Kluyveromyces lactis: one gene and its partners. The protein of the gene in region 3 interacts with the protein of the main gene of each other region in a biochemical or structural test. Links are inferred from orthologs where the notes say so. Each region holds a gene or a part of one and is shown on either strand. Other genes may lie near its edges. The genes, in order: YPT1, ATG32 and ATG11.

Region 1 (9,674 bases), on a different chromosome or scaffold from region 3:
TAATGACCTTTAGCCCACACGTTACCTGCTGAAGATTGACCGAAAATGTAGTTATCTGGTCTGAACAAAGTACCAATCTTAGAGTTACGTACAGCATCAATGGTACCAGGTTCCAAATCAATGTTAACGGATCTTGGAACCCATTTACCAGAAGAGGCTTCGTTAAAGTAAACGTTCAATCTAGCCTTTTGAATATCATCGATACCGTGATAGTTACCTTCAAAATCCAAACCGTGTTCACCACAAATAGTTTCCCAAAACGCAGCACCAATTTGGTTACCACATTGACCTGTGGACAAATGAATGATCTCTCTCATGTTTTAGAATATCTCTGAGCGCGTTATTGATCTGATCTCAAAAAATGACAATTGAAGAAACACAGCACAGGCAAATTGTAGAAAGACTTGGTGTTGATACAATCGAGGGGTATCTATAATCCAGTAATTGTTGATCCTTGTTCTTTCAAGAAAAAAAAATAATTATGCGATCTCTCTGTCCTTTACAAGAAAAAAGTGAAATATAATATGGGTAAAAATAGTAGTCTTGTCCACAGTATATTAAACAAACAAACTAACAAATCGAAATAGACGAGTTCTCACAGCTGTTATCTATAAAGTTATCTCTAACCCGTGCAAGCCTGTTCACAATCACGTCTGTGTTCACTTATTTAACCACTTTAAATTGTTTATTTATTTGTTTTTATTTGTTTATTTTTTTCCTCCTTCTCTTTCCTCATATCTTTGTTTGTATTTTGATCTTTGTTTCACTTCTTTAGGCAATTTTCGAGCACGTCTATTTCCCTTTGTGGGTTGCTAAGTGTGCGGGTAATACGGGAAACGGAAACTTACATCGCGTGATTTGCACGTGACTGTGATGTGTGAATTCCTGCGTAGTGTCAGTTCATCTAAAGACAAGAGTTGAGGTTGCAAGTGAGCAACACATTCCCCTAAGATTTAGAATAGTTGTCGAAGTGTTCCATGAGTCCAAAGACTGAACAGACTATTTTCTCGGATCATTTTCTTCACAGCTGACTTTCCGTATATGATAGAATCATACGGAAACTGGAATACTGCAATTTTCCCTAACTTTCGATTCTAGCTGACATTTAAAGACGATGTGAAAATTTAAAGAGAAACGGATTTCAGGATTAGGAAATTTAAAGAGGGAAAAAACGTCCAGTACAGTTTGTTAAGAGAAGGAAACCTATTAGTTGGAGAAGCGAAAGAGGGTTTGACTAGTTGGAATTGATCTGTCCAGTGCTACATTTTTATGTATATAGTAATCGGAAGGTTACTTTGATTAAGCTACGGTATTCTATTTCGAACCGAATCGAATCGGATCAGGTTAGCAGGTCTCTTTTTTTTTTTTTTTTCTTATATTTTTGGCTATCAATTGATTAACTGATTGTGTATTGAAGACGAAAGCTGTTTACATATTTAGCTTTTCAAGGTGTTTTTGTCATCGTTGATTGTGAACTCTTAACTTAGCGGCTCAATAGCAGTTGATTATCTCGTCTCCAAAAGAACTTTCGTGAGTTAGTTACTAAGGTTTCATTTTAAAGGTTTTCTTTTCAAGAAGATGTCTGAGGGAAGTGGCAATGGCAGTGGTAATCGTTATTCCAATGCTGCCGGTCAAAATGGAGGCAACAGGCCTGCTCAGAGACCTGTAGCCCCTCTGAGTGCTGTGTTCCGTACGAAGTTGAAACAGCCTCAGTTCTATTGGTTCCTTGGTCACACGTTATGCTTATACTATTATATCCAATATATGCTCTCATTCCGAGAACAAAGTGTAAAGACAAATTACAGGAAGATCATGCTATACACAGTGATCAGTTATGGGATTGTGCTTCACCAATATGTGAAATCAAAACAGTTAAGATTCCAGTGGTCGAATTTAAAACAGCAGATCAGACAGTTGGATAACCTACAATATTTTACACTTTCCATTGTTCTTTTGATATGTTCTCTATCAGGAGGGAAAACTTTAACTCAAACTGAATCATCTATGGTTATATACTCTTTGTTCCATGCATTGAATTATTTCAAAGAGAATGTATTGCCATTCATTCCAATGAACCCCATGTTAAAAGGTTCATTGTCAAATAAAATCTCGTATTTCATCACCAATTTCAACGGGTCTTTCTTCCATGCTGCAGTGATGTCAGAACTTGTAACGATGTGCAAAGTGTGTCTCATGCTGCCCATACAGTTAATCTCTGTGCTTATCACATTCAATGCCAAGAGTTTATTCACACTTCTATCAATCTGGGCATACGCTATATTCTTTAAGTTAAGATACAATCAAAGTGAACAAATGAGGTTGCTATGTAACCAGAACCAAATGATGATTGAAAACTTCATCTCAACTCGTTTGCCTATGTTCATGGACAAATGGTTAGGCATTAAACATTTGGCTAAAGTCTTCTTTGATAGAATCCTTGCTTGAAAACGCTAGAACCAGTTAGAAACTCGAAACTTAAGTTCATTCATAGAGTCTTCCTGCAAGTTAGTCAGTAGAGCATCTAGATATACACATGCATACATATATATGTATCTTAACTTAGAAAAAACTCATCCAAGCAAAGATTCTTGCATTCGCATCTTACATCCTGTGAGATTTTGTAGAGTTTCACATCTCCCCTAAAGATTACTACGAATCATTCCTATCAGTTACCTGAACTTTGTAATGTCTTCATCCATTTCATTACTTGTCCGAAATAGTTCAGTGTAGTGTAACAGGTTCATTACTGATCTATATCAACAACACTGTGTATTTCTGTGTCACGTGATGGTAATCTTTTGTGGAATCTTTTCCGTTCAGGAGAACAAAATTCAAACAGTGAAACCTGGACCGAAATACATTCTATTAAGCAACAATAGCATAGTTTCAGTTATTCCAAATGCGGTTTGATAAGACGCTTGCTTTTTTTCTGGTTACTGTTGCATATTTACTGAAAGCTTAACTAAAGGATAGACTTTTATTTTGGGGTTGTTATCATATTTTATCTTATACTTCCTTTACTCATTTTCTTTAACGGAGAGATATTAACAACGAGGGATACAGAAAGGTGTGTTTAAAATAGAGAAATATTGTAAACTTACAACGCAGTCCATCCAATCACAACTTACAAAAGGAGCCCATATTTTTTAACAAACAGTCGAATCGTATCAGTCGCTATAAACTACAAGCAAACAAAGAAAAAATGAATACCGAATACGATTATTTGTTCAAATTATTGTTGATTGGTGATTCCGGTGTTGGTAAATCTTGTTTATTGTTAAGATTTGCCGATGATACCTATACCAACGACTATATATCCACCATCGGTGTTGATTTCAAGATCAAGACTGTTGAGTTAGATGGCAAAACTGTTAAGCTACAAATTTGGGATACTGCCGGTCAGGAAAGATTCAGAACTATTACATCTTCTTACTACCGTGGTGCCCACGGTATAATTATCGTTTACGATGTAACAGACCAAGAATCCTTCAACAACGTCAAGACATGGTTGCAAGAAATCGACCGTTTCGGTACAGCTGGTGTGTTGAAGTTACTAGTTGGTAACAAGAACGATTTGACAGATAAGAAGGTGGTTGACACCGAAGTTGCTAAAGAGTTCGCAGATTCTATTGGAATTCCATTCATCGAAACCAGTGCACTAGATTCTTCTAACGTTGAGGAGGCCTTCTTGATCATGACCAAGCAAATCAAGGAAAGTGTCGCCAAACAACAAAAAGATAATGGTAGAGCTGAAGACAAGTCCAACGTCAACTTAAAGGGCCAATCATTGACTGGATCCAATGGTGGTTGTTGCTAAATTGGATAGCATCATCGCTATGTTACTATACACTAAGTGTCTGAAAAATCAGGAACTGAATTTAAGAACTGTCTGATAATTACCATATTTCGAAGAATTAATATCCCGTATACATCACAAACAACATTAAGCACCATTTGCCCCACATAGCTTTAACGAAAGAGCCGGTGGTTGTCTATTTAGAGCCTATTATAGTTAGACTTAATTTCAATTACAATCATTATTCCTTTCTTTCTTACTTTCTCTATATATAAGAGAATGTATTCGTAGATATATGATGGATATAGTATATACAACCCCTTCTCTAACATTAATCTATCGGTATCTTACCTGAGATTTATCACCACGTTTTTCCCTCTTCAATTGTCTCTTTGATTTGGAAGGTTCAGCGGGCGTTGTCTCTGCGAGATCCGCCTTTGAAGCTGAGGCACCGGGGAAATACTGTTGCTTCAAGTAGTACAACTTGTAGAAAATAAACGCAGGGCACACTAATACCAAGAACCACCATTTCATCGTGTTGAAGAAAACTGTTCCCAGGTTACAGAACAAGGAAACATACACGATATCTTTCATGTATTCAGTGAGTCCACCAGATTCCAAATCGAACCCTTCATTAACTAGTTTATATTTTCCATGCGCAGCGTTACTGACTTCATATTTTGGTCTACCGGTACGTTCGAGAATATATAAACATAACAACATCGGCACATTGAAAAGAATAGGTTTTAGGGTTGAAATCAGCCCATTACTGAACCATTTCCTCAATAACGTTAAAGATAGTATAGCGACGACTAGTACGTGCAACTGCTTTAAGATGGCTGCGTTCTTTGCAGCAATCTTCTTGGACGATTTTCCAGCCATTCTACAATGGGTGGGTGAGATTCTTCAGAGATAGAGATAGATGTACATAAATGTACTGTCGAATATTAACCTGATCTATTAATACCTTCCCGTTGCTTCAATGATAGTTGATGATGATCCACGTAACATATATTCACGTATAGATTTCAACTGCCGAGTCATTATAATCCGGGTAACGTACATATATGTCACGTGATTTTGAATATACACATTAATATACGGAGGATTAAGACGATATGCGGTCATAATGAATTGTAAAATAAACCAGATGTACTAACATCCAGAGATCGATAACTGCCTCATGAATACAATATACTACGATATAACTATTCTACCGACAGCCTACCAACGTTATATCAAACTTCCAGCCTTCACAAAGCCTTCAATTGCAAGTCCGCCCCTCCAGCTGTACAGTGAATCCCACGTAACCACTAGAAAACCATTACCGCAACTGCTCCGCCTCGTGGACAATGACAATCGTCTCCTATTTTTCATCAGAATTCTTTTTTTTTTTTTAATTTGTTTTTTCGAAATTTTCTCTTCTGTTTCTCTGGACAGCTAGTGCGATTTATTGTATGAGAGAGTTTGAAATTTGATTTAATTTACAAGAAAAATAAGAAATATCTTGATTTGTTTCCTCCTTCTTTACTGTCTTTTACGATCCAAAGAGAAGAAAGGTTGTTTCAGAATAACGGTTTTTTTGTTGATTGCAAAAGGAATTGTACAACATCTTCACGCGCTATAGTATAACAATATGGATTCTGGTATGTGTGGAAACGTATATTTGATTACGGTGGGTTAATTGGGTGGTTAAAAAGTTTGGATATGTTTTATTACTTTGTTAGGTTTCCGGTTAAATGTTGGGAGGGAAAAGATAGGATAATGGCAGCGCTTTGCGCTGCCATTGTCCATTCTCTAACTCCCTAAATCAGATTTAGAATTAGATGTACAACGCTAATTGAATGGGTTTTTTTTATATATAGGGGTTTGGATTAGAAGCTTTGTTCGAGAATTGGATCTTTCATTTCCTGGTTCTACCTTCTTACTATAACGTGTTTTTCTTGGGTTTTGGGTGACTAACTTTGGATTTTGGGTTTTTTTTACCTGATTTAGGAGGCGAATTGGAAAGAAATTTGGAAAATATAGGCAAAAAAAGATAATTTGATGTCACGTGATGATGTGATTTTATATTACAATGTTATTCCTTCCAGTCCAAGAAGGAATCAAAGTACACCTTTAAGTGGTGCAGGCATTGCCCCTCGTGGTTCGGTTGTCCCTATTTTTTTTTTGATTTATTTTTCTGGTTGCTAAGGTTAGCCCCTATTTTGTCCGCGACAGGACTTTTAGCGTTGAACAATCACATAACCTCATGATCACCCAAAATGCACCTGTTACTTTTGTTTTCTTATCTTATGTTACTAACAATTATTTTTCTATTTGGGATGGCTGAATTCACTTTTTTGGAACACCTAACCTACCCAAACGTACGGTTTAGTTCCTTAATCTGCATTCTGCTACTCGTGATGGTTTTTTATTCTAAACAGAGGTCGCTGCTTTAGTTATTGACAACGGTTCTGGTATGTGTAAAGCCGGTTTCGCCGGTGACGACGCTCCAAGAGCCGTCTTCCCATCCATCGTCGGTAGACCAAGACACCAAGGTATCATGGTCGGTATGGGTCAAAAAGACTCTTACGTTGGTGACGAAGCTCAATCCAAGAGAGGTATCTTGACTCTACGTTACCCAATTGAACACGGTATCGTTACCAACTGGGATGATATGGAAAAGATCTGGCATCACACCTTCTACAACGAATTGAGAGTTGCTCCAGAAGAACACCCAGTTTTGTTAACCGAAGCTCCAATGAACCCAAAGAACAACAGAGAAAAGATGACTCAAATCTTGTTCGAAACTTTCAACGTTCCAGCCTTCTACGTCTCTATCCAAGCTGTTTTGTCCTTGTACTCTTCTGGTAGAACCACTGGTATTGTGTTGGATTCTGGTGACGGTGTTACCCACGTTGTTCCAATCTACGCCGGTTTCTCCTTGCCTCACGCTATCTTGAGAATCGACTTGGCTGGTAGAGATATCACCGACTACTTGATGAAGATCTTGGCTGAACGTGGTTACTCTTTCTCTACTACCGCTGAAAGAGAAATCGTCCGTGACATCAAGGAAAAGCTATGTTACGTCGCTTTGGACTTCGAACAAGAAATGCAAACTGCTTCTCAATCATCCGCTGTTGAAAAGTCTTACGAATTACCAGATGGCCAAGTTATCACTATCGGTAACGAAAGATTCAGAGCTCCAGAAGCTTTGTTCCATCCATCTGTTCTAAGTTTGGAAGCTGCTGGTATCGACCAAACTACTTACAACTCCATCATGAAGTGTGATGTTGATGTCAGAAAGGAATTGTACGGTAACATCGTCATGTCCGGTGGTACCACCATGTTCCCAGGTATTGCTGAAAGAATGCAAAAGGAAATTACCGCCTTGGCTCCTTCTTCTATGAAGGTCAAGATCATCGCTCCTCCAGAAAGAAAGTACTCTGTCTGGATCGGTGGTTCTATTTTGGCCTCTTTGACCACTTTCCAACAAATGTGGATCTCAAAGCAAGAATACGACGAATCTGGTCCATCCATCGTTCACTTGAAGTGTTTCTAATCTCCTTCACTTTTTTTTACTTGACACTCTTATAAAAAGAATACAATTAAAATAAACGATGAATCGATTCATATAGATGAACCCAAAAATTGAAGCTTATGAAACAAAAAACTAACAATTATTAAAACTTCATATAGGGACGATTTTACTCCAAATCTTCTTTGTTTTTATAATTTTGTTTTGTGTGTTGTTTTTATTTATCTTCGATCGCACAGTCATTATTCAAGTTCCAATCTTCTATCTTATGTTGTTGGAATATTCTACTTCATATAAATGAAGTGGGTAGTTTAGTATGAAAGTTAATAAGTTAATAAGCCGAGATTATATACGAACGAAATTCAAATTCAACATTAAAATTAAACAACTCCAATTGAAAGTTATATACGGCAATTATTGAATATTCGTGCGAGGCTAATTGCTTAAGTTGATCATCTGATAATTTGAAAAGGATTTAAAATCATCATATGTTCCAGAACAAAGATTTTTAGTGTTGAAAGTTATTCTTAGTTTATGAAATAGTAAATTATTTAATATGTACAATAGATAAACAAGACTAAACTAATAATTCAACGTTCCGTCACTTCAGTGGTAGTAGTGGTACACACAAATGAGTCAGGTTCTGGCGCACCAGACCTCTCGGGAATACTTTCAAAATCTGCACTTTGATCCGACTCTATCTTTTCATATTCAACTTCTGCTGACAGCGCGTCTTGTTTGAATAGATTGTCAATATCGTGTGGTGACAAATCTCTCGTCTCAGGAAACCACATAATTATAATGAAAGCTAAGGCTATTGTTGATGTTCCCAACATTACGAAGGTCCACCATTCTACGATTTGCATTAAATAAGGTGCCATTAATGCAAGGGCAAACCCTGTAAACCAACTTGTCGATATACAAACTGATAAGGCCACGGATTTTATGGATTCTGGTAAGATTTCGTTAGTATAGATAAAGCCAGCGCATGACAATGATGAAGAGAATACCGAAACAAAGAGGAAACATAAGGCGACAACTATATTTCTCAAAACAACATCGCCGACGTGCCTTTCCCTTTCACCAATTAGGAATCCTATCAATAGCATGATACCACCTAAAAATACACTTGCCCACCCGATGAATACTTTGCGATTAAACTTGTCTAATAAAAAGACAGGGACTAAGGTAAATATCGTATTGACAATATAAGGTCCTGCGGTTAATTTCGAGCTGACATCATCATCAAAGCCAACCATTTCACATATGTAAATAGTGTAATACATCACAACATTAATACCACTGATTTGAATTAATATCTGGACTATTATACCGAGACTCATGTGTTTCCAGTAACCTTTCTTGATAATATAGGAAAGCTTTGGCTTTTGCTTCGTTTCACTAACGAACTTCTCTCTGAGTTTCTCAACATCCTTCACTCTCAAAATCGCTAGCGACCGATCTATATCTTTGTTGGAATATCCATGCTTATACAACCATCTTGGCGACTCCGGTAGTGCTTGAAATAGCATCAATAACAATAAACTGGGTATCACTTCTAACCCCCAAGTAATCTTAAATGCCAAGGGACCTTGGATTTTATCAAGTAACATAGAGAGAAAGTATATGGATAGAATGGAGATTGTTAAAGCCATCTGCATTAAAGCTGTGGCCTGCCCCCTTATATTGCTTGAAAAAACTTCCATCAAATAGAATGAAGCAAGCACAGATAGAATACCTACTGCAATCCCTTTTACAAATCTACTCAGAGCCATTGTGTAAACTTCAAGCACAAAAAAAGATCCGACAGATCCCATGGTCCAAATAACACTACAAGCACACAAACACCATTTGCACCCAATGAGTTCTATCAAAGACCCAGACATTAGGCACCCCACAAACCCACCAATTTGGTTGGCCCCTGTCATCATACCTGTTTGTAGTGCAGTTGGCTGTTTGAAATACTCTTTGAAATAGCTCGTCCCAAGAAACAATGATAAAGACGAAGTATCCATACCTAACATAAAACCGATACAAACTAACAGCCCGATCAACCTTTTCACTTCAAATGCATTTTTCATATCTCAATTGCGTATTGTGAAACTAAGTCACCTTTATAAAACAGTGTATTCTTTGCTACTGGCTCCAATATTTACTCAGTTCTTAAGCTAAGTTGAAACCGGAAGTAAAGTAACTCTATAGCCCACTTTTATGACACGAAATATTTCTTACTGCAGTGCCGTATTTTGTACCATCGAAAAGTTGGTTCACGATGTGAACCACACTGACGCCCGTCGTATGACAGGAAAGAGAGGGTCTCTGTCACGTGATATTAAAACCCAATACCAGTCTCGAAAA
Region 2 (11,275 bases), on a different chromosome or scaffold from region 3:
TTTTTTGATATTATTTTCAGTTTTTGATTTTCAGCTTTTTTTTCTTTTGTTGTAATCTCTGCGAAGGATGATGGTAGGATGGAAGAAAGAAGAAGAAAGTACAATCACGTGAGTGTTCATCTCAGAAGTATGGATGAGGGAGCCTTCTGAGGTTCGAAGGAAGCAAGGCGGTACTTTAAAAGAGATGAGATCAACAATCATTCGTGCAATGTGATTTGATGGTCTTGTTTCAGCAAGGGATGATACAGATTCCCTCCCCTTTCAAAAGAAAAGATCAGGAAACCTTAAACGCTGATTGCTGCTCCTGGATGAGAGCTGAAAAGATAACGGAAGCAGGGGCGCCAATAGGGTAAACCCGGTCAAAACGGGTGTGGCAAGACCCAAATAGAGCTAATTAAATCTGCTTGTTTTTTTTCGTAACCTAATGAACCGCTAGTCAGTGCACTCATGTTCTATATAGTGAATACACAATGACCGGAAAATATTGTCTCTCCTCAGGTAATCTTCACTAGCCTCCCTTGTTCATAGAAGAAGTGTGCGACCACTGAAATTCTTGCAATACATTTAAGGTTTTCTTAAAACCTCAGTCAAAGTCATCTTAAAATGTTGCTTGCACCGATATCAGTGTGCTGCTCCGATTTGTAATCTACAACAGTGTCTCTAGCATAGTCACAATATATATATATATACATCAGGCAACATTCACTTGCATTTTATTATATATTATCGCCAAGAGTGGATATATTAAAAAAAAAAGGTTTAAGATCGTCCGTTGAAAAGTCGTTCTTCACACACTTTGTGGTTATCTTTTTTAACTATTTTACCGTTTGTTCGATCAACTAAAGCTCACCATAGCGTAAACTGAAGGGATAAGGCTTTCTATATTAGTTGTTGAGTGGAGACTTTTTAGTATTTTTCTCCGCTTGGTACTATTTCATTATTATAGGTGTCAAGTTTTAAGTTTCAAGTGCCAAGCATCAGCCCGTGACTCAATACCACATAGATTCACAAAAGAAGAGTCGTGTAGTGTTTGTCACACTGAAGAAAACACATATCAGAATCTGCATTTTTTTTTTGATTTTTTTCCTACTAAGCTCTGACGTTGAGTGGCTGAACTAAAGTTGGAGAAGCTACTTTTATTTTTATAGATCTGTTGATTGATCCTCTAAACGTGTCTGTGTTTGTTGTACCTTAAACCAGTCTTTTGTCCCTCTGATTTGTATTCAAATTTCTTTTTGTTACATTACTTAAAGGTACGCTGATATTGATTTATTAATATTACAAAGCTCTTAAGGGTTTATTCCTCCTTGATTACTCTATTTGGGTCTTTTGAAGAGGTATAGTTCACAGCCATAACTCTTGTCTCTGATTAACTGATAATCTTTGATTTTTATTCGGACTCTATTCTTCTCCTTTTCGCGAAGTCTTAGAGTGAGCTAAGAACTCATTTATAAAGGGGTTTGCTAGTGTTTGTCGTATTGTCACTACAAAGGGTCAGTTGAATATTTTACTATTTTTTTCTGTTAACAGATGTCTGGGTCTAAAGGGGTCTGGGGTGCACCTCCTGGTAACAATAATCGTCAGTTATATTCACTAGATGCTGGAAGCAGCGGCAGCGGTGTTAGTGCCAGTAGTGCTCAGCGACACAGTATTCTCGATCCACATGACTCAGTTATGGATTTATTGAACGGACAGCAAAGCTGTGCATTCGATTCCAGGCTGATCCAAAATCAAGATTTAATCGATAGGAAGGGTAAAAGTAACAATATTGATCATAATGATATTAATACTCACACTCATAGTAAAGGACTCACAGATTCATGGCAGGCCATTGATCGGGATGAATATTCTTTTTTAAATGCTGGAAATCATAATAACTATCATAATACCTCAAATGGCGACTTCAATCAACAATTTGGCGGGGTGTTATCATCTGACACTTCTGAAGAAGAGGTTGAAATTAATGCTGCTCCTTCGCCTAATTTGAGTGCTTCTCAGCAGCACAACCAATTTCTAGCCTATCCTTTATCATCAACAGGTTTTGGTGATCAGGGAAATAGTGAAACTACAGTCCATCAGTTTTCTGACGGTGATCCAGTTAAATCGACTAAAACTGGTCAATTTTCAAAAGCAGAACTAGGTGCTGGCACTGGCGAAGATGAGACGATAATGGTCAATTTGGGCCATTCTTGGGCGGGCAGCTTTTTTGTTATGCCGAAATTGTCCTTATCGGAGTCTATGAAAAGATTCAAGATTTTAATTTTGAGCGATGGAGACTCAGCTAACTCTTTCTATAACCGTCTATCTCGGTATCACCGACTAATGTTTGACGTCGGAAAACTCAACGAAGCTTCAAAAGAGGAAGCATTGAAATATACTGCTTTCATGATAATCTTTTCAGATTCAAAGAAAGTGACTACAATCCTAAATAGAATGTGGAAGAAATACGGAGATTTCACTTTGATTCCAATATGTCAAAAGGGTCAGAAGCAAAGCGTCACGGAAAAGGTCAAAACATTTGCTAACTCTAACAAAATAAAATTGATGTCGTACCCTGTGGTAATATCCGATCATTACGAGATACACGGGTTGTTGCGGCATTTGCACTCTCTATACGTTGAAGTAGATTCTGACTATGAGACGGATATACCTAAAAAAACTAAACCAAGAAAAGGTGCAAAAAAGAAGCCGGCCCCTCATCTTGCAAAAAGATGGTGGTTTTGGCCAATATCTATAGCGCTTGGCGTTGGGATTGGGTGTTGCGTCACCTTTTATTTCAGCAAGTTCGAGACTTCCTCGTATAATTCATCAGTTGGGGTTATTCAGACAGCAGATAAGGAGATCGATGCTATTGTTGACGCTATAGAAGGAAATTCACCGTCAATACTTGAGGAAAGCTCTCCGCAGTCAATTTCTGATTTCTTGGGTCAAGTGTGCAAATTAGTTAAGGATACTGCTATCCAGATCAATGAATTATTAAAGCAGTTTCTTTCGGCTCATTTAATGACGTCTGCTTGGATTCAATCCATTGGTAAAGAATTCATGCAACCTGACTCGCAGAGTACCATTTCAAAAGTCACTGCTTTGGATTTAGTGATGTTTTGAACCGGGGTACGTTTATATGCTGCAATTTGGTGTATGTAGTGATGTAACTAGATGTTGTTTTTTTCAAAAGTATGAATTGTTGCCCAACTTTTGTTTTCAGATTGAGCCTTCAATATACAATTTTAGTCCCTAAATGTCAATAGCACAATATTCAATTCTGAGACTTTATTTCAATCTGTTTTTATTCCCAAGGTTTCTCATTTAGTGATTTGTCTCAACTAAGTATCCCAGTTCATATAGGCTATCACAATCTATGTCACTTTAGACAGGATACTTTTTGATAAGTTGTGTATTTTATTTTTGTTTACTGTACAGGCTTGTGACATTTTTCAAGGTTTAAACCCTTACTTTATGTTAGTAAAAGATCCTCATTCACAAAATGAAAAACTTAGATGAATTAAAAGAAAACAAAGATCAAAGTTTAAGAAGTTCATTGGTTCTTGATAGGAGACGTCATGAGGGGATTGTAAATTGTCTGTCATTAATACCAACCTAACCTGTATTCCAGACTTCAACCTCGTATGCTAACTATCGGACGATAATAATTCACGATGTTGGCAGGCTTAAAGAGACGTTGCAGTCTTAAAGCTCTTCGGGAACGGTTTACACCGCCGTTTAATGTTGGTTTACGAACCCAACTTATTATTCTCGTGTGCTCTATTTGCGTTTTATCGTTAACAATCATTACGGTTACTACTGGGGTTTATTTCACAACGAACTACAAATCCGTACGAGCTGAAAGATTACAGGTTGCAGCACAATTAAAATCATCACAAGTTGATCAGAACTTGAATTATTTATACTATCAAATATATTGGTTGTCTACAAGAGACACATTACAAGATGCGTTAGTCAATTTTAGAGCTGGTAATTCATCTAGAGATAATTGGAATTCTGCAGAAGACAGTTTAGAAAAGTTTCTTGGTTCTTCAGGTTTGTTCAGTGCTGCTAGAGTTTATGATACGTCTTTCAACACCGTAATAAACTCCACCAATAATGGGTCTGGTGACAACATTCCGGAAAACGTTTTAGCAGAGCTCTTTCCTCTATCTGGCGTAGAGCCTTTGTCTTCTTCGCTACTAACTACGGGTATCGTTACAGATCCGGTATATAACTGGACAAATTACTTGTTGTCCATGTCATTGCCAGTTTCAACAAATCCATCTATTATTCTGAATACTAACGAAATTGCCGGCTATATTACTGTCATTGCATCGGCGGAAAGTTTAAAGGCTGTTGTAAATGATACAATTGCTTTAGATAAGTCATCCGTATCAATCCTATCTGCTGTTTTCGATAGTAATAGTTCACTGACTGGTTATCATTTCGTTTTCCCTCCGCATGGAACCTCATCATTCAGTTCAAAAGTGACTTTTCCAATTAAGAACGGCACGTTTATAGCTGATGCATTCGAAAATGGGAAAGTTGGTTCAGTTATGAAAACAAATATGGTTCAGGAGAGAAACATAGCAGTAGGGTATTCACCACCAACTTTTAAACTTGTAAATTGGGTGGCCGTTGTTACCCAACCTGAACAAGTATTCTTGTCTCCCACTATACGGCTTATGAAAATCATTGCTGGTACGGTGTGCGCTATTGCCGTATTTATGTGCTTATTGACTTTCCCTATAGCACACTGGGCTGTGCAACCTATAGTCAGACTTCAGAAGGCTACTGAAATCATTACATCTGGGAGAGACTTAAAGCACTATAGCAACACTGGCAATTCAGATTCAAATACTGCAATTACACATTCTAGGACTCGTAGCACATCTAACCAAAACCAGGTGATGAAGCTGTTCAACAAATCTGTCACCAAAGGTACGCCCAGTAATTATCTGAATCACAATTATAATGTTTTCCCTCCAAGTAGAACAGATTCACCAAGCGTTTCCGCAAGAAACTCACAGACTATACCCAGAGGCCCCGGAGACCTGACACGTTCAGCTACTACTGGATCTACCCCATTTTCTAATGATTCTTCTTCATATACCTCCGAACGATATATCAAATCAACCAACCTAGTGGAAGCATATGTCCCAGTATACAGAAGATTTTTTCAAGATGAACTATCAGAACTCACAGATACATTTAACACAATGACAGATGAGCTAGATAGACACTATGCTCTTTTAGAAGAAAGAGTTCGTGCTAGAACAAAACAATTAGAAGCGGCTAAGATTCAGGCCGAGTCTGCAAATGAAGCAAAAACAGTTTTCATTGCCAACATTTCTCATGAATTGAGGACTCCACTAAACGGTATCCTTGGTATGACTGCAATTGCCATGGCAGAAACTGATATGCAAAAAGTGCAGAACAGTTTGAAGTTGATTTTCAGATCAGGTGAATTGTTGTTGCATATTCTAACAGAACTTTTGACTTTCTCTAAGAATGTCTTAAAGAGAACAAAATTGGAGGAACGTGACTTCTCCGTTATGGATATTGCTTTGCAGATTAAATCCATCTTTGGCAAACTAGCAAAAGATCAGCATGTTAAATTGTCCATTGCCCTTACACCAAATTTCATTAGAACTTTGGTATTATGGGGTGATTCAAATAGAATCATTCAAATTGTTATGAATCTAGTCTCAAATGCTCTAAAATTCACACCAGTTGATGGTAAAGTTGATGTTAGGATCAAATTGCTTGGCGAATACGACTCAAAAAGGAGTGAAAGTGTCGATTATCAAGAGGTATTTGTGGTCCCTGGTTCTGAAGCAAATGATGATTTTGAGTTCAATTTAACTTCAACTACTCCCATGAGGCTTCCTTTCAATTCTTCTAGTGGCAGCGTTAATACTGCTACTAAAGATGGATCAACTTCCCCAACAACTAAGACAAAAGAAGGCTCAATTCAAGTCGAATCCGAAACGTCAACGGAGGGCAATGACAACGATGAAAGTAGCATTGTTCTTGAAAGTAAGCACGAAGAAAACGAAGACGAAAAAGAAAAGATGTCAATATTATCTACAAGTACTTCAAGCTCTTACGATGATGCAATTTTCCATTCGCAGTTCAAGAAAGTTCTGTCTTCAACGGATTCAGATACGGAAGAGAATACGTTCAGAGATCTTAAGGTACCAAAGACTTGGGTTATAAGTATGGAAGTGGAAGATACTGGCTCGGGTATTGATCCTTCACTTCAAGAATCTGTTTTTGAACCGTTTGTTCAAGGTGATCAGACGCTCTCTAGACAATACGGTGGAACTGGCTTGGGCTTATCCATTTGTAGGCAGTTGGCAAAGATGATGAAAGGTACAATGAAGTTGGATTCGAAAGTTGGTGTTGGAAGTAAATTTATTTTCACTGTGCCACTACAGCAAACAAAAGAGATAGTATTCGATGGTGCTGAAAAACAGTTTGAAGATGAGTTCAATATTCACAGCAGGAAGAACAGAAAGGTTAAATTTAAAATCAATTCCTCTAGGAAATCTGTTCAAACAAAGAAATCTAAATCTAGTATCGACGGACATAGCGATAACAATGTCAGTGAGAGAAAAGCCAGTAATTCTACTGAAAATAGCGTTGGGAATGTTCGTGTTGATAGACCATTTTTACAAAGTACGGGTACGGCGACCAGTACTAGGAGTATATCATCTGTAGCAAGTGAAGTTACTCGGCATAGAGTTTTGGTTGCTGAAGATAATAATGTCAATCAGGAAGTTATAAAAAGAATGCTTCAGTTAGAAGGACTCACAGATCTTGATATGGCATGTGACGGACAAGAAGCTTATGAGAAAGTTGAAGAAATCTTAAAGAATGGCGAATCCTACTCCATGATATTCATGGATGTTCAAATGCCGAGGGTGGATGGGTTGTTGGCTACCAAAATGATCCGGAATGATCTATTATATAAAGGGCCCATTGTTGCGTTAACCGCATACGCAGATGATAGCAATATTAAAGTTTGTCTAGAAAGTGGAATGGATGGTTTCCTACCAAAACCCATTAAAAGACCATTGTTAAAGAAAATAATCGCACAGTACTGTTCGAAAAAAGAGAAACAGAGAGAAGAATAGATTTGCGAATGTAACATTATATAAAACTTAAAGGTACTCATACACATGTATATTTCCGACCCTTAATACATTCGATGTGTTAAATATCCAGTACAGTGCATTACCGACAGTCACACAAAGCAACGCTCAGGAACGTTCAATGATATTAAACAATGTTAAAGAAGATTTATATTTAAATCAAAATAATAGATCTGTAAAGCTAATATGAAAAAACACATATGATAGTGAATGTGCGTAAATATGTATGTACTCCATAGTGGTAGCAGAATCGACTATTTTAACTTCTTCTTTGGACGCAATTGGTTGGTGTGACCACACTTTCTCTTTCTACAGTTAGTAGCTCTTGGTGGCAATCTAGCGTAACACTTTCTGCAAACGGACTTTTCACAGTTGTACTTAGAAGCCAAAGCCTTTAAAGATGGTTCAATGATACCACCTCTCAATCTCAAAACCAAGTGCAAAGTGGATTCCTTTTGGATGTTGTAGTCAGACAAGGTTCTACCATCTTCCAATTGCTTACCAGCAAAGATCAATCTTTGTTGGTCTGGTGGGATACCTTCCTTGTCTTGAATCTTAGACTTGACATTGTCAATGGTGTCGGAAGATTCGACTTCCAAAGTGATGGTCTTACCAGTCAAGGTCTTGACGAAACTGTTTTCAAAAAGATATGATTTGTTAGTAAAAGTTTGAAACTCGATCAGAACAAAGTTCTTAAGGCAATCTTATTGGGACGATTCCTAGAATTAGTGAACGTTCAAGTTAATTTTGCTAGATTAGTAAAGCTTAATAAAAAACCAAAAAAAATTCCCTCTGTAGGTATGAATTGTTGTGCATTTGATAGTTAGGAGGTGATAGGTCCCATTAAACTGCTTCCTTGTATCCTTATTCATTCTGCAAAGCGTACTTGCTTTCGTTTGAAGAAATCGTGACATATATCTCACTCAACAGTTTAGACCGCGTACTCACACTCTCCGAAATGAAACGCTCAAGTTCTCACAGGATAGCGACTATCATGATATATGTTACACCAAACACAGTAAATCCTTGTCATTTTCATTAGTTGTTATCCGAGTTCGTCTTGTTGTTTTTTAGCTAATGTGCTTTCGTCCCATTTCAAAGTAGCATAAACCGTCTTGAATCACCAAGAAACCCCAAAATAAGATGCCTTTTGCTTATCATATTGTGCATACATTTGCATTTTTGAATCTTGTCCTTTCCTGATCTTTTTGATAGTAATCAACAACTAAGTACAGCTATCTTAAGTGCGTATGATTAAATGATATAATCCAAAATACTTTGAGTATGAATTCTTGCTTGCTTTCCTCAATCTGGGTTTGGTACATAGAAAGTTGGTGAACCTGAGGAATCGACAACGAGCAAAAACGAAGTGATTTCTGCAATTAGAAAATAAAAATACCGTTTTGAGGAATATATGCATTTTTAATTGTCAAGCCCCGAAATTTATACACCCAGACACACTGTTGAATAGTGCACGGATGTTGTTGCAAACCGTCCCAACTTGGAACGTAGAATTTTACTGGTACCGGTTACCCTGATTGTTAGTTTAGATACGACTTCTGTATTTCGTTCTGCAGTCAGTTCGTGGTATCTGGTCGTTATTTTGAATTTCACCGAATTGGACCTAATATTGAAATTGAACAAAAATTACCTGTCAAGAACAAAGCCTATGTGCATTGTATATGCTCATGTATACCTGCAGAAATTTTTAGTATACTTCTAATTGAATATCATAGCGATTAGCTTGAACACTAGGTAAAAGTAGCGTCTTATAGATTGCTATTCCATTGTTGTGTTGTGGAGTTGAGAATGTCCGTAGAACCCATTGCCTCTAGGGTCGCAGACTTTCTACAAGTCGACCAGCAACTGATACAAGACATTAATAATGATGTTTTAGGTAGGATTGAGGAGAAGTTGGAAGATCTTCGGAAACAAAAATCTGAAAACCTAAGAATAACTGCTACCTTGGATCAATTAAAATCTCAATCAGAGAACAAACTAGAATCATTCAAAATTCACATCTCTCAACTAGCCAAGGCATTGGAAGATGGGAAGGATGAGCGCTTACACTTTGAAGAAGAGAAAAGGCGTCTAATTGAAGGAAATTCACAAGTGACCAAAAGAATCATAGAATTGGAACAAGAAATAGAAGTAGAGAGGCAACAAAAAGAACTTGCTGACGCTTCTAAGCAAGATATTGCAGAGTCACTAAACGAAAAAATTGAAGAACTCAGTTCTACCAAAGCTAAATTGAATGAAGCACAGGGAGCGAATAAGGAACTTAGACAAAAAGTCGTCAATACTGAAACTGAGCTACAAACTCAGCAGGCCTTAGAGCTACGTTCGAAAAGCGAGATTTTAAGGATGGAACAAGAAATCACATTATTGAGAGAAAACAATGACTGGTTGACCAATCAGTTAAATACCAAGACCGTACAACTCAATGAGTTTAGAGAAAGCACAATTAGTGAATTACAAGATTCTCAGTTAAAGGTATCGAATATGGAATCAGAGTTGGAAATAGCTCGAACCAGTAATCAGAAACTAAAACAATCGGTACACAGTTTACATGAACAACTGGAGCAAAAACTTTCCGAGAACAAAGAAATTAAAGATGAGTACAATTTCTCTAAACAAGAGCTTACGAAAGAGATGTCTTTAAAGCAGAGAATGATTGATGCTCTAGAGAAACATATGGAATCATTGAAGAAAGAAATGGATGCTACAAAGAATAACATGGACTCATCATATTTCACCGAAAAAGAAAGAGACGAGCTCATTGAAGAGCTCAATGCGGTCAAATATCGTTTAGACGCATCTGAATCTAACTGCATAAAACTTAAGGAGACAATCGATGAATTAACATCCAACATAAAATTAGAAGACTCCGAAGTTGGTAATACCACTGCGTCTTCAGAAAAATCGGTTTCTGTCATACCTAAGTTATATGGTGATTTGGGAATGCTCAAAAAACAGCTGGTTATTGAGAAAAGACAAAAAGACGAGTTAAAAATGCAAGTGGAAGCATTCGTTGTTGAATTAGAGCATAAAATCCCTGTTCTCAATTCCTTCAAAGAGAGAAGTGAAATGCTTGAAAGAGAGTTAAATGAGGTTACTATTTTGTTAGAGTCAACTGGCAAAGACCGTGATCAAAAGTCGTCACAACTTGATTATTTGAAAGCTACTGTGAAAAGCTATGAGACTCAAATAGCCTCCCTATCTAAGCAACGTGTTGACCTTGCCCATCAGATACAGTACTTACTCGTGAACGAATCTATTAAGTCAGAGGATGGCGGACCATTATCCGCTGAAGAATTGCAATTTGTCAAAAATCTAACCAACTCTCAAGAAATAACAAAGACCTCTGACACTCAAGGCATTATAACCGATCGACTAGTAGAATTTAGATCAGTAGTTGAGTTGCAGCAGAAAAACTCCGAACTTCTTTCTACAATTCGCAATCTTGCTGATGAATTAGAACGCAGGGAAGCTGAAAACAAATCTCAAATCCAGGTATTAGAGGATGAAACGGTGAGAGAGGCAAAAGAAACCATTCTTACACTTCATGATCATGCACAGAACCTTGAAAACCAACTAGTCATTCTATCAAAGGAGAGGGACGCATACAAGGCATTGTCAGTAAATGCTAGCTCTGGCACAAACACACCTAAGGCCATTACTTACCCTTCTCCTGATAATGACGATAAAGTGAAGGATCTCGAAACAAGACTCACCGCTGTCATTCAAGAAGCAGAGAATAATGCCAAGGAATGGTCATCAGAAAACAGCAACCTGCGTAAGAAATTATATGAAATATCACTTAATTTCGAATCTGAGAAAACTTCACGTACTCTTGCAGAAGATAGGTTAAATCTATTACAATCAACTTTAGAGCTTTCCAAACGCCAATGTGAGGAGCTACAAAAAAGATCATCTGATCTACAAGATATTTTAACAAAACAGGACAAACGTACACAGGAGACTGTAGATTCCTTAATCAAAACGAAATCCACTTTGTCATCTATACAATCGGAACTATCCATCTTGAAGTCTGAAAAACAGTTTATGGCAAAGGTTCAAAAGGAACTGAAGGCAGAGAACGAAAGATTTTCCAAAGAAAGTGTCGAATACAA
Region 3 (11,829 bases):
TGTAATATTAATTGGCTAAAGTGATGATGTATGTTTGATTGTTGGCAGGTAGGTGGCTCTTTGCGAGCCCGAGTTGAGGACATGGTATTAATAGTCACGTGATAGATTACCCGGATATATTTCCAGCCAAACGCGTGGTTTAGGAAAGGAAGTAAAAAAAAAAAAAAAAGAACGCGTCTCACTTTTTTTTACCCAGAACAATTTTCAATGTTATATAACTATATCTTTACTCCTTCAAGGCCGTGAAACTACTGCTCCTCTCGATAGTCCAAGAGTATTCACTTCTCACCTCTGACATCAAACAGACCTACCTATTATCAATGCTAGAAGCTAAATTCACAGAAGCTGGGTTATTCAAAAGAATTATCGATTCCTTTAGAGACTGTGTCCAATTGATTAACTTCAATTGTTCAGAAAAGGGTATCGCTGCACAAGCCGTCGATGACTCTCGTGTCCTCCTTGTCTCTCTTTCCATCAATGTAGAAGCATTTGAAGAGTTTAGAGCGGACAGAAATGTCGTGCTAGGTTGCGATTTGACGAACTTGAGTAAGATTCTTCGTTGTGGTAACAATTCGGACAATCTAACGCTTATCGCTGAAGATTCTCCAGATTCTATTCTAATCTTATTCGAAGATACAAAAAGAGACCGTGTCAGTGAATACTCTTTAAAATTGATGGAAATCGAAACAGATTTCTTGGAGATCTCTGATATGAAATATGAATCCTATATTACAATGCCATCTGCTGATTTCGCGAAGACCGTACGTGACTTAAGTCAATTGAGTGATTCTATTAACATCTTAGTCACTAAGGATACCATCAAATTCGCCGCAGAAGGTGATATCGGAAGTGGGTCCATTGTTGTGAAACCTTTCACCGATTTGGATCATCCTGAAAGTTCAATTAAAGTTACCATAGAAAAACCAGTAGATTTAAGGTTCGGTGCTAAATATTTAAACGACATCATTAAGGGGTCCTCTCTATCAGATACAATCACTATAAAATTATCGGAAGAAGCGCCAGCCCTTTTCCAATTCGATATCTCAAGCGGTAATTTGCAATTCTATTTGGCTCCAAAGTTCGATGAAGAGGAATGAAATCTCTTTTCGCAATGCTATATATATATATATATTGTGTGTGTATTAAAATGACAATTACTGATATAAAATCAATTCAATTTACTTTAGAGTATGGTGTCGGTAGGAAAGGAATCCATCCCCAGGAATGTGCTTCTCACACAACTTTTCTCTGTAATCGGTAAAATGAGTTTAAACGCATCTCCCTGGTTCAAATAATACCGGAATAATCTCTTCATTCTGATGAAGCCCATATTCTCGTATAAATGCAAAGCAGCTGCATTGCTGCATTCAGTCTCCAACATAATCTCGTCACATTTTTCATCAATCATAGTATCTATAGCTAAGGTAATTAGTTTTTTCGCTATCCCACGGCCTCTATATTGTTTCTCCACTGCTAACATGCCAATGTATCCTCTTAACCGCACTCCATTATGAGTATCGCTCTTGCATACTATACATCCTATGGGCTTACCCGATCCTTCTGCCCATGCCAAATACGTTAGGTTCGGCCATTGGTTTAGGAAAAATCTGTACACGTATATCGAATATGGCTCACTGAGATCCTCATCGATCAATTTCTTGATGGTGGAAAACTCCATGTCATTACTGATATCGAATCGTGTGTACCTTATTTCGACCATCCTTTGCTTAGTTTATCTGCAGTATACTTTCTTATTAATTTTTAATTAGTTATATCAATGAGAGTAGATGCTGCCGAAGCTAGCGAATATAAAAAGCTTTACTTAAAACTGTTTATCTCATCATCTGGAGGTTTAAAACCAAATTTTTATAATAAAAGCATATCAGTCACGTGCTCTTGCTTCACCAAACTGATTCGAAAAAAGATTATATGGACCCCCCGGTAAGTTTTATAGGTGAGAAAACCTGTTACATAGTTTTTCAGTCCCCTGACGTTTATCGGCTCTTATTCCACTTGTTGCTTACGGCTTTAGTACTCCAGATTAGATATATCTCAGCATTTAAAGAATACTCATGATATAGAATCCTGTGAGCTAACACCCCCCATTTCATCATCATTAAATCGACATTGTCCCTTTATTTCTTTCCAAAGTCTTAAGGTTACAATCTGATAATTTTATTAATAATGCCGCCATGCAAGTTGATATGTGCTACATCAGGAGTTTCACACCAATTATCTAATGTTTATTTCCCTAGTTTCTTAGATTTGAAACAGTTTGCAAGTGATACTTTCCAGATACCGCTCGATGACATACTTCTATTGTTACCTTATGGAATGATATTGAAGAAAGCAGGATGGGATTCCAGAAAGCTGCAACAAGAAGGATTGGAAGAAATATACGTATTTGACCGTGGAATATTCAATGAGGAGATCGAGTTTTCCCCAAAGCCAAGGTTCCAACTTTTCAAACCTTTGCCATCGCCGATAAGCGATTCGTTACAGTTGGATAAAAATGTCATTCTACGGAATTTAGGGTGGTTGAAGGCTTTGCAATCAGACGTTGAATTTTTCCAGGACGTTATAAAAGAAACTTATCAAGACGTTCAACGGTTATTAGAGTGTGGTACTGTTATGCTTGAGTATTTGAAAAACTACTGCTATGAAGTGGAGGTGCTGTATAATGGCAACGTTGATTTTCTTAACAAGCTTCACGAAGATGGTGCCTCAAATCAATGGCATTCCTTTTATGATAATATTCTCGGCAATATTAAAGTTTCTAATCAGTTATTATCATCATTTTTCAATTATAGCGAGCTAACAGAGATCGAGGATTCCATTCACCGTCTGGATCGTGAACTAAATGCGAAGTTAAAGGAGTTAAAGAAAAGTATTGATGAATGCTACCAGCAGAGAACACAGTTAATCTCAGATTTAGATGATGTGAAAAAAAATTCAGTTGTCAGTTCTGATGATATGGACAACCAAATGGTTGAACGATTTAAAGAAATGGCTACAGAGATTGAGCTTGTATCAAATCAATATAAAGAAGAGGCTTCTAAAGATGCTTCAAAAGAGAAGTTTGAAACATTCAAAAGTGTACATGTCCCCAAATTACAAACAATTTCGCAAGCAATGTTCAATAAAGCTTCCACGAATTTAGATACAAAAGCTACTGTCCAGCAGAAGTTGCAACAGTTGTACCTTTCCGTTGCAAAATCGCAGATGAGCGTAATAATGGTGAAGTCGGTGTTAACTAAAGACGTTAAGACCAATATGAAGTTTTTGAAGAATGAAGAACTGAAATTATCTCAAGTATTGGATTTGCCTATGTGTTATGGATTGTATTTGATTGAGTTATACAGAGAGCAGCTCTGGACAGACCGTTACTCTCAACTTCGACAACAACATGAATCTTCATTGCAGCATCTTTTGGATGACGAAGTACGACAAAGAAACTCTTGGTACAAAGATTTCCAATGGATAACTCGATTTCTAGATGTTGATAGTTTGCTACCATCATCAGTATACATTCCGTCCATAAGTGATCATAAACAGGTGACATTGTCTCAGATTAAAGATTATATTAATCAACTTGCTTCATTGAACTTAGGTGAACCTACAATTAATTTACTTAAGTCAAAAGTCTCGCAGGCGGAGCTGACAGGCTTGCATTTACCTACAGATTACGCGCTCTCGAAGGACTCGGAGCTTATCATTGAAGGATACAAGGCTCGTATCAAAAAGCTAGAACATTTATTACTTGATGCACAGTTCCATCAGTACGACTCATGGCCAGCTGGCATTCTGAATAAGGAAACTGCAATGGTCCAAATGTTCCGCAATAGTACCGTGAGCACAAAGTTACAGCAAAGTTCAACATTCGATCTCCCAAGTTCCAAACAACAACACGAATCAAATAAAACCTTCGAGGAATTTCAAAACCTGCAAAAGGATATAAGCAAATACTCTGAATTAACCAAGACCCTTGAAACTGAACTTTCAACACTTAAAAGTCAACTTTCCCATATGGAGGTCGAGAAAAATGCTTACAGAGAATCCATGACAAATTTAAACAAAGAATTATCAACGTTGTTGATTGAACGCGAAAACTTCTATTCTGAAATGAATTCTCGTTCGGAGAATTTCAAGAAGCATTTAGGATCCCTCTTTGAGCAAAATGAGGAACTTGTAAGGGAATCTGAAGAATCCCGACGGAAATCCGAGGATTTAAACAAAATGAAAGAAGATCTTCTTGTCAATATGGCAACCCAAGAAGTTCAAGCAGAACAGGAACGGGCTTCCTTGCAAGAAGAAGTTGAAAGTCTTAAAAAAGATCTTAACCAATTGCAAATATCAAAAAGCAAAACAATTGATGCAGAGTTTATCAACTTTAATAAGCAATTGGAAAAAACTTTATATGATGTTTTCCAAGGTAGTATTTTCATTTTGGCGAGTATCGGGTTGTTACTTTCCAAAGATCAAGATGGAAACTTTCAAATTGTTCGCGTCAAAGGTTTAAGAAAAGATCTGGATTCAAGTTTGGCTGATATGAATAGTTCCATGGCAAAAAGTGTAATTGCACAAGAAATAAAGAGTACTTTCGAATCTATAAAGGATCAGATTGACTACAAACCTCATGAAAATTTCATTACCTACATAGAAAAACTATTTGGTAACCAATTGTTCGAAACGTCAGTGATCCGCAGGTTCAATGATATCGAAAGTTTGGCGAAAAAGCTTAGGAAAGAGAACAAGAATAAAAAACTCCTTTTGCAGAAAAGTGCTAGAGACAAAATTACAATATATAACTTCCAACCGGGAGATCTTGCTCTTTTTTTACCAATCAACGATCAGGAATTGCTATTAAATTCTTCAATATCGTCGCTAAATTCTTCATTTTCATCCATTGATTTAAACTCATCTACACAGTCTGTTATGCAACGTCCAAATGTTGTCAAGTCTGATATTGCAGCTAGCATTCTTAACGGAAGCTCTGCTTCTATCACAGAAAATATTCCATTAAGTAAAGCGAACAGGAATCCTGCACTCAACGCTAATGGCAGACCGGATACATTCAATGTTAACACCCAAGATTCGGCCAAGAAGCATGTTGTATGGGCAATTTTCACTGCGACAAATACTGATATCAAATACGTTCTTAGAAACTCAACGTCTAATTACGAATTATTGAAAGATAGGGAATGGGCAATGGGTAGAATCTCGGCCTTGGAAAAGCATGTGGTTGGAGATGATTCAAAGAACCCCTTTAAGTTTCCAAGAAATACCGTGTGGTATGAAGTTGACGCTTTTTTCAATCTTGACTGAACTACCATGTCTCTTGCATATACCTGTCAGTTCTTTCCATTTCTTTTAGATAATGCTCGGCTTCTTCTGCGTTTTCGAAGTTTCCATGTTTTTTCAGGATCTCAACTATAGTCAACCTAACCTGAACTGGCATTTTACCGGAGGATCCACAAATATATACTATGGCAGATTTTTTCAAAATTAGGTCTGCTATTAGACTAGATTGATTCCACAACTGATCTTGAACATACTTAGCATGAGGAGAATTTATGGGATCCCGCGAAAAACAAGTGAATAAATTAATTTTACCTTCTTTCTTCCACATAGATAACGTATCTTCATATAAAAAGTCCTTATCCTTCATTCTGTTACCAAAAAATAAGTACTGATCCTTGAATAAATTAGACTCGATCAAGCACTTCATTGGTGCGAGACCTACCCCCGGAGAAGTCATGATGATAGGTTTGCCAATAATATCTTCATGAAGTAAATGATTATTTTGAAGTTTATAACGAACTGTATCGTTTTCGGTTAATGTAAGTAGGTAGTTCGTGCATAGTCCTTTCCGTACCTTTCTTAACAAAGTCTTATAACGAACAATAGCAATAGTTAGTTCAACATTAGGATCAGATGGTGCACTTGAGATGGAATAAAATCTGGGCTTTATCATGGGTAGATAATCTAATGCGAACTCCCATGGAAGTTTTAAGAATTCAAAATCCTGTATAACCTCTAATACTGATCTTCTTGGTCTATTGCAATAATCATACAAGTCCTGTAGGTCTTGTCCATACCCGAACTGTCTTAGTTTATCCCTCTGTTGTTCTAATAGCTCTTGATCGGTTGGTCTATCTTCGTGAGCATTTGCAAAAGTCCAAGTTTTCATGAAGAAGCTCTGCCTAGGTATACTGACGATATCAAAATGATATTTTAACAAGGTTCTTAGAGTAAGTGGTTTCACAACACCACCATCTCTGAACCGATCACAATTTTCCAGGTCTGTTATTGTAAGAAGTTCATCAGCGACCTTCTTCCAATGAGGTTGAGCTTCGAGGAATAATTCAACGTCATTGTCTGAATTTTCGGGATATAAAGAAACTGTATCGCCTGGATGATAGGCTTCATGATCCTCGGTTTCAAACACAAATTGTCGAACGTCCTGAAAATGATCTTTAGCAGTTATTTGGTTGTTTTTCTTAACGGTTCCATGTCTTATTGTCTCATCTCCAACAAATTGAATCTTAGAATCAGGTAGCTGATCATTTGTCGATCCATTAACAGTGGATATTTCTAATATATTGCTCGGTTTCAAGTAAACATCTTCGGCTAGGCCTACTCTGGGCATCATTTTGCCATCGTGCTTTCTGTTGGGGTACTTCTCTAACATGTAGGCGATGATTCTTTTCTCAAATTCATAGTAGACGGATTCAACTCCATTTCCAGTATCCTTATTACTCCCAGCAAGTCCCAACTCATCAGCTTCTAAGCGTGGAAAAATCTCACTAGCGCCAAGTTGATTGACAATACGTTCATGAAGCTTTCTGATACCAAAGTTGAATCTTGGATACGAGGAATCACCCAACCCAAGCATGGCAACGTTAACATGATCTAAAAGATCCGCAGGAAGTGTAGATTTCTTCAAAAACTGCCAGAGAGTCCCCTGAGCCCGTCCATTACAGTTCTCTCTTGCGTTACGCGGTAGTTCTCCTTGTCCAGTCGTAGAGCAGATGATAAACAGGTACTTGCACTGCAGAACGCTTTTCGGATGGTAATCACCGATCTTAATCAATGTATGTGAGAAATGCAGTCTCTTTAACTTATGAGAAAGAATATGCGCAAAATCTTGCGCATTTCCTGTCTCAGAACCATACAATATGACAATCTTCTTGTTCTGCATGGTTTCAGTAGTCCGAAATACTTCTTAGCAGCTTTAAATGTGTCTTGAATCGTTTACAGTATATAATCTTTGATGTTCATCACATGTAATATGTAAGCTATCTCAGTATTTTTCACCTTGAAATCTTGCTGTTAAGAGAGATATGCGATAATAACGATGAACAGACGATGAATTAATGACAGTGTCGTTGTATTTCTTCTTAGATAGTGTTCAAAAAGAACTGTATGGTTACTAATTACCCACAGATCTTATTGATCACTAACCGTTACATATTGAAATGAATTTTTTTTATACTATTAACATGAAATCGCATCACTAGTAAATACGACGAATTTATATATAATATTTTGTATCTTGGTTATCTCAGTTCAACGCCGTATAGTTTCACCAGGGTATCACGAACTTTATCCTGCAGCTCATTGACTTCCTCGTTGGTGACGTTTCTGTCCATTGATTGATAGTTAATACGGTAACATAATGACTTTCTACCGGTTTTGGGGTGTGTGAATGAATCAATTAATTTGACACATTCAACCAAATCTCCTGCTACGTTTCTAACGATTTCCATTAGATCATTCTCATGGATAATGTCAAAGTTCTTATCTGTTGGAAGCCAGAAGGCCACGTCCCTGATGGTACCTGGATATTTAGAGTACGGTTTGAATTTGTTGATTGTGCCCTCTTTGAATTGGGAATGGAACCTTTCGTCAAGGGTCCAGAATAATCTGATATCAGGGATCTCGAATAATAGCATTGCAATGCGGTCAAGGCCTAATCCAAAAGCCCAACCGATGTTTTGATTTTGTTCATATCCAGCTTTTAATAAAACGTCTTCACGGATAAGACCGCAACCGCAGAGCTCAAGCCAATTGTTTTGCCAGAACACTTCAATTTCCCATGATGGTGCAGTCCATGGGAAATAAGCTTGAATCCATCTAACCTTCAACTCTTCTCCCTTCACGTTACCCATACTTGCCAACTTTCTCTTGAAGACTTCCAATACAACAAGCTCCAAAGATCTTTTCAAATGGCGAGAACATAAATCGACTTCTTCCATCGTCATGTATTCCTGCTTTGGATTACCTTCCAAGGAAACGTTATCTTCCACGACAAGTTTCACTGGGTCGTCTGCCAAAGTTTTCTCCAATCTCTCGAGATCTTCTTTAATCTTTAATAAATGTTGGTTATCCGGTTCCCTTTTCCAAACTCTACCACCTTCCATTTGATGGAACACCGGATAATGAGTCCTGTCAATCTCATCTCTTCTATAGACATCGGCAGAGATTAAAAATCCAGGCTTATCAGTCTTACCCACATGGCCAGGAACAAACCCATTGATATTCTTGAAACATTCCAACTCATGGGCAGATGTATGCGTTCTTAACAGATGACAATCGTTCAAGTAATAGGTATCAGATTTCGATCTACCGGGGTGATCTTCTGGGAATCCCAAAGAATCAAAATTCTCATGTACCGTAACCGCAGGTTTGAAATCGTTATAGATCTCGAATGAGTGATGAGGGTCGTTCAGCTTGTCCTCGATAACACTTCTTAAGATCCCAACAGGGTGTGATGGTTTCAAATAAACAGCGCGATCAGTCAAATTCAAAATCGAACTAGTTACATTCGTCTTATCTGATACTGGGTACGTCTTTCCATTCACAGAAAGTGTCTGTAATGCCACATTGGAGGTGCTAAACAACCTTAAACATGGTCTCAAAGTTGACAATATCGTCCTATTCGACATCGTTTCGGTATTAAAGAACCCTTAATAACAGTAAAACTGGGGCAATTCAATCAACAAAACAAAGGTAATCCCTTAGCAATGATATTACTAGTGATATTTCACTGCCTGAAATCACCAGAACAGGTATATCAAGTGTTGTTTAACGAGACTTTTGTATCTTCTTTTGAATGTATGTAGAAGGTCACATGATTTCAAGATATCTTCAACTTCACCAAAAATTTTTCAATAATGAAAAGCTTTAAGAGTAAGTAAAAGAAGATCCAGAGCATAGAAATTGATTTGAAAAGCAGCATAAAACAGTCCCTCGCGCCTCATTGCAAGGATCTTATTTCAGATCAGTGAGCCTCCTTTATCGTAAATTAGATCACCATGTTTTCCAGCGTTTTCAAGACTGGATTTCGCTCACTAAATCCATTAGAAAGTCTGCAAGTAACCGCTAGGCGTTTTACACATGAATATGCTCCACGTTTCAAGAACCAGACTAAGAAGCAAAAGGGTCGTGTGCCAGTGCGTACCGGTGGCTCTACTAAGGGTAATTCGCTTCAATTTGGTCAATTTGGTTTAAGATTGAAGTCTGAAGGTGTGAGACTTACTGCGTTACAGTTGAAGGAAGCCGATAATGCTATTATGAGATACGTTAGACCTTTGAATAACGGTCAATTATGGCGTCGTTTGTGTACAAACATTGCTGTTTGTATCAAGGGTAATGAGACCAGAATGGGTAAAGGTAAGGGTGGATTTGACCATTGGATGGTCAGAGTACCCACCGGTAAAGTGATCTTTGAGATGGCAGGTGACAATCTACACGAGAAAGTAGCACGTGAGGCGTTTAGAAAGGCAGCAACCAAGCTTCCTGGCCTATACGAATTCATATCGAAAGATTCTCTGGTAAGAGTAGGTATCAAGAGTGTAAAAGATCCAAAGGACGATCCAAAGATCAATTACTTTGAAGAACTAAAGAAGAAACCTACAAAGGAATATATTACAAAGTTGAAGTCCCAGCAACCGGAATATAGAATGTTCAGGGCTCGTTGAAATAGATCGATGTGTGTATATAAACGACTCTTTTACGTATAACTTTTGTGAGAGCTAATCCCACTATCTGTAAATAGGCTATCAAAGATTCAAGATTTAAAGTCCCAAATGAGTAAAGTTTGGTTGTTTGTCAAACTACAAAAGTTAATACTTACGTATATTTATCTATTTCACACATTGTCCTTGCAATGAACCCTTCTAAATGGTAGATTGCTTTGTTTCCAAGGTTGAGACGGTGATCAAAAGTGCATGCAGTATCGATAATTGCCAACTTCAACGGATCTGACTGGGCATCTGAAAGCAATTGCGTCGTTAATTCATGGACTATGGTTTTGGCAGGAATACAATGGGCTAATAGATCATAATTTATGGAACGGCATTCTACAAGGTTATTAACAGTTCTTTCTTTTAATATTTTCCTAGCCATTTTATGGATCACCAATTGCCAATCAGGTCTGTTCAAAGGTGTATCGTTTCTTAAATGCAATTCATTTTGTAGTGAGGTAGATTCTAGTGCTAAGAGTGACATTCTCAAGTTCCCCTTTGACAGATTCGCTATCCTCTCTAGACAATTGCCCTCGGCAGTTATTTTTTCTTTGGAACAACAATCCTGCAGGATAGACACAGTTTCTTGCAAACTTGGTGATGGTACTCTAACTAGCAAGCAACGAGACTTGATAGGAGCAATGATACTGGACATTGAATCACATAGCATTATAAGCCTGATGTTACCAGAGTATTTTTCCATAGTTCTTCTTAATGCTGCCTGGGCATCTCTAGTCAACGAGTCTGCCTCGTTGATGATAACGCACTTGTAACGATGTGCCAAACCATCCTTGGAGTCCTGGAAATCTACTTGTTCCATTTGAGCGACTTCCTTAATCAATTCTTGTATCACAACACGATCGTTGTTACCAATATCGCTCGGAGTAATCTCTAAATGGTAGGGACTACTGACTACATTCAACTCCAGCTTACGGTTGGATGGTGTGACGAACTGTCTAACGTCGATCTTCAGCTTGTAAACCCCAGAACCAAATATTTCTTGCAACAGTGCCATACATCTAGTCTTCTTACCAGCACCATTGGGTCCATAGAACAACAGATGTGGAAGATCTTGAGGTTGTCTCGTTAATGAGTACAATTGATTTGTTAATTCTTCATTGTAACTTAATGACTGTAGAGTCTTTGGTCTATACTTATCAACCCACAAAGACATTCTCGTATAGGAATTTTAAATCTTGTTAGTCGATGTAGCTCAATGTAACTCGCTGGAATGGCTCGTTCGCCTGCTATGCGTTTTGATTAATTGTCTCTCAAGTACTTTTCGTGATGCGTTTTATTAACAATTTCGCCAAACGTTTCTTCACGTTGACATTTTGAAATTCAAATGATTTCAAGTAGACGTAACTTCAATAGCCTTAAAACAACAACATCAAGTTAGATAGTATACCAGCAGTAGGTACCATTTTTATCTGTACACTTACTAGTTGTTATCGATTAGCAGTGCCACTTGATTATCTTCCTAGTTATTTGGTGTCTTACAAGTCAGAATCAAGAAATTAACAATGGCTTTAGGTCAGAATCAACAGAACAACATGAAGGGTTTGCAATTGTTCATTGCAGACCTTCGAGCAAACCAGAAGACTAAAGAGCATGCTAGGAGAATACAAACTGAACTACAGAATATACGGACTCAGTTTACCCAGAAAAGTGGGCTCAATGGGTATCAAAGGAAAAAATATGTTGCTAAGATGGCATATATATATATCACTACTAATGCTGGCATGGTTCCTGAGTTGTTATTCGGATTGGATCAATGTTTCCAGTTGTTGAAAAGCAGTAA

Evidence for each region.
Region 1: the proteins of ATG11 (region 3) and YPT1 form a complex in vitro, tested with the Saccharomyces cerevisiae proteins (2 studies listed by BioGRID). The link is inferred for Kluyveromyces lactis from reciprocal best matches to the Saccharomyces cerevisiae genes ATG11 and YPT1.
Region 2: the proteins of ATG11 (region 3) and ATG32 form a complex in vitro, tested with the Saccharomyces cerevisiae proteins (2 studies listed by BioGRID). The link is inferred for Kluyveromyces lactis from reciprocal best matches to the Saccharomyces cerevisiae genes ATG11 and ATG32.

The regions. Positions count from the first base shown.
Region 1 is NC_006040.1:456,294-465,967, forward strand, and holds YPT1 (Rab family GTPase YPT1), read left to right. Parts: upstream 1-3,202; coding exon 3,203-3,817; downstream 3,818-9,674. Other genes in the region: TUB2 (beta-tubulin), read right to left, coding at 1-317; PER33 (Per33p), read left to right, coding at 1,579-2,445; SND2 (Snd2p), read right to left, coding at 4,133-4,678; ACT1 (actin), read left to right, coding at 5,433-5,442, 6,223-7,340; KLLA0_D05379g (uncharacterized protein), read right to left, coding at 7,907-9,397. UniProt on the Saccharomyces cerevisiae protein: The small GTPases Rab are key regulators of intracellular membrane trafficking, from the formation of transport vesicles to their fusion with membranes.
Region 2 is NC_006037.1:56,227-67,501, reverse strand, and holds ATG32 (mitophagy protein ATG32), read left to right. Parts: upstream 1-1,530; coding exon 1,531-3,105; downstream 3,106-11,275. Other genes in the region: SLN1 (histidine kinase), read left to right, coding at 3,657-7,124; RPL40A (ubiquitin-60S ribosomal protein L40 fusion protein), read right to left, coding at 7,397-7,775, 8,315-8,322; MLP2 (Mlp2p), read left to right, coding at 8,952-11,275. UniProt on the Saccharomyces cerevisiae protein: Mitophagy-specific receptor that recruits the autophagic machinery to mitochondria and regulates selective degradation of mitochondria.
Region 3 is NC_006038.1:1,056,674-1,068,502, forward strand, and holds ATG11 (autophagy protein ATG11), read left to right. Parts: upstream 1-2,184; coding exon 2,185-5,325; downstream 5,326-11,829. Other genes in the region: POL30 (proliferating cell nuclear antigen), read left to right, coding at 321-1,097; peptide alpha-N-acetyltransferase MAK3, read right to left, coding at 1,184-1,720; TAH18 (NAPDH-dependent diflavin reductase), read right to left, coding at 5,327-7,201; MSF1 (phenylalanine--tRNA ligase), read right to left, coding at 7,560-8,948; MRPL16 (mitochondrial 54S ribosomal protein uL16m), read left to right, coding at 9,318-9,983; RFC5 (replication factor C subunit 5), read right to left, coding at 10,135-11,202; APL3 (Apl3p), read left to right, coding at 11,552-11,829. UniProt on the Saccharomyces cerevisiae protein: Involved in cytoplasm to vacuole transport (Cvt), pexophagy, mitophagy and nucleophagy. Recruits mitochondria for their selective degradation via autophagy (mitophagy) during starvation, through its interaction with ATG32.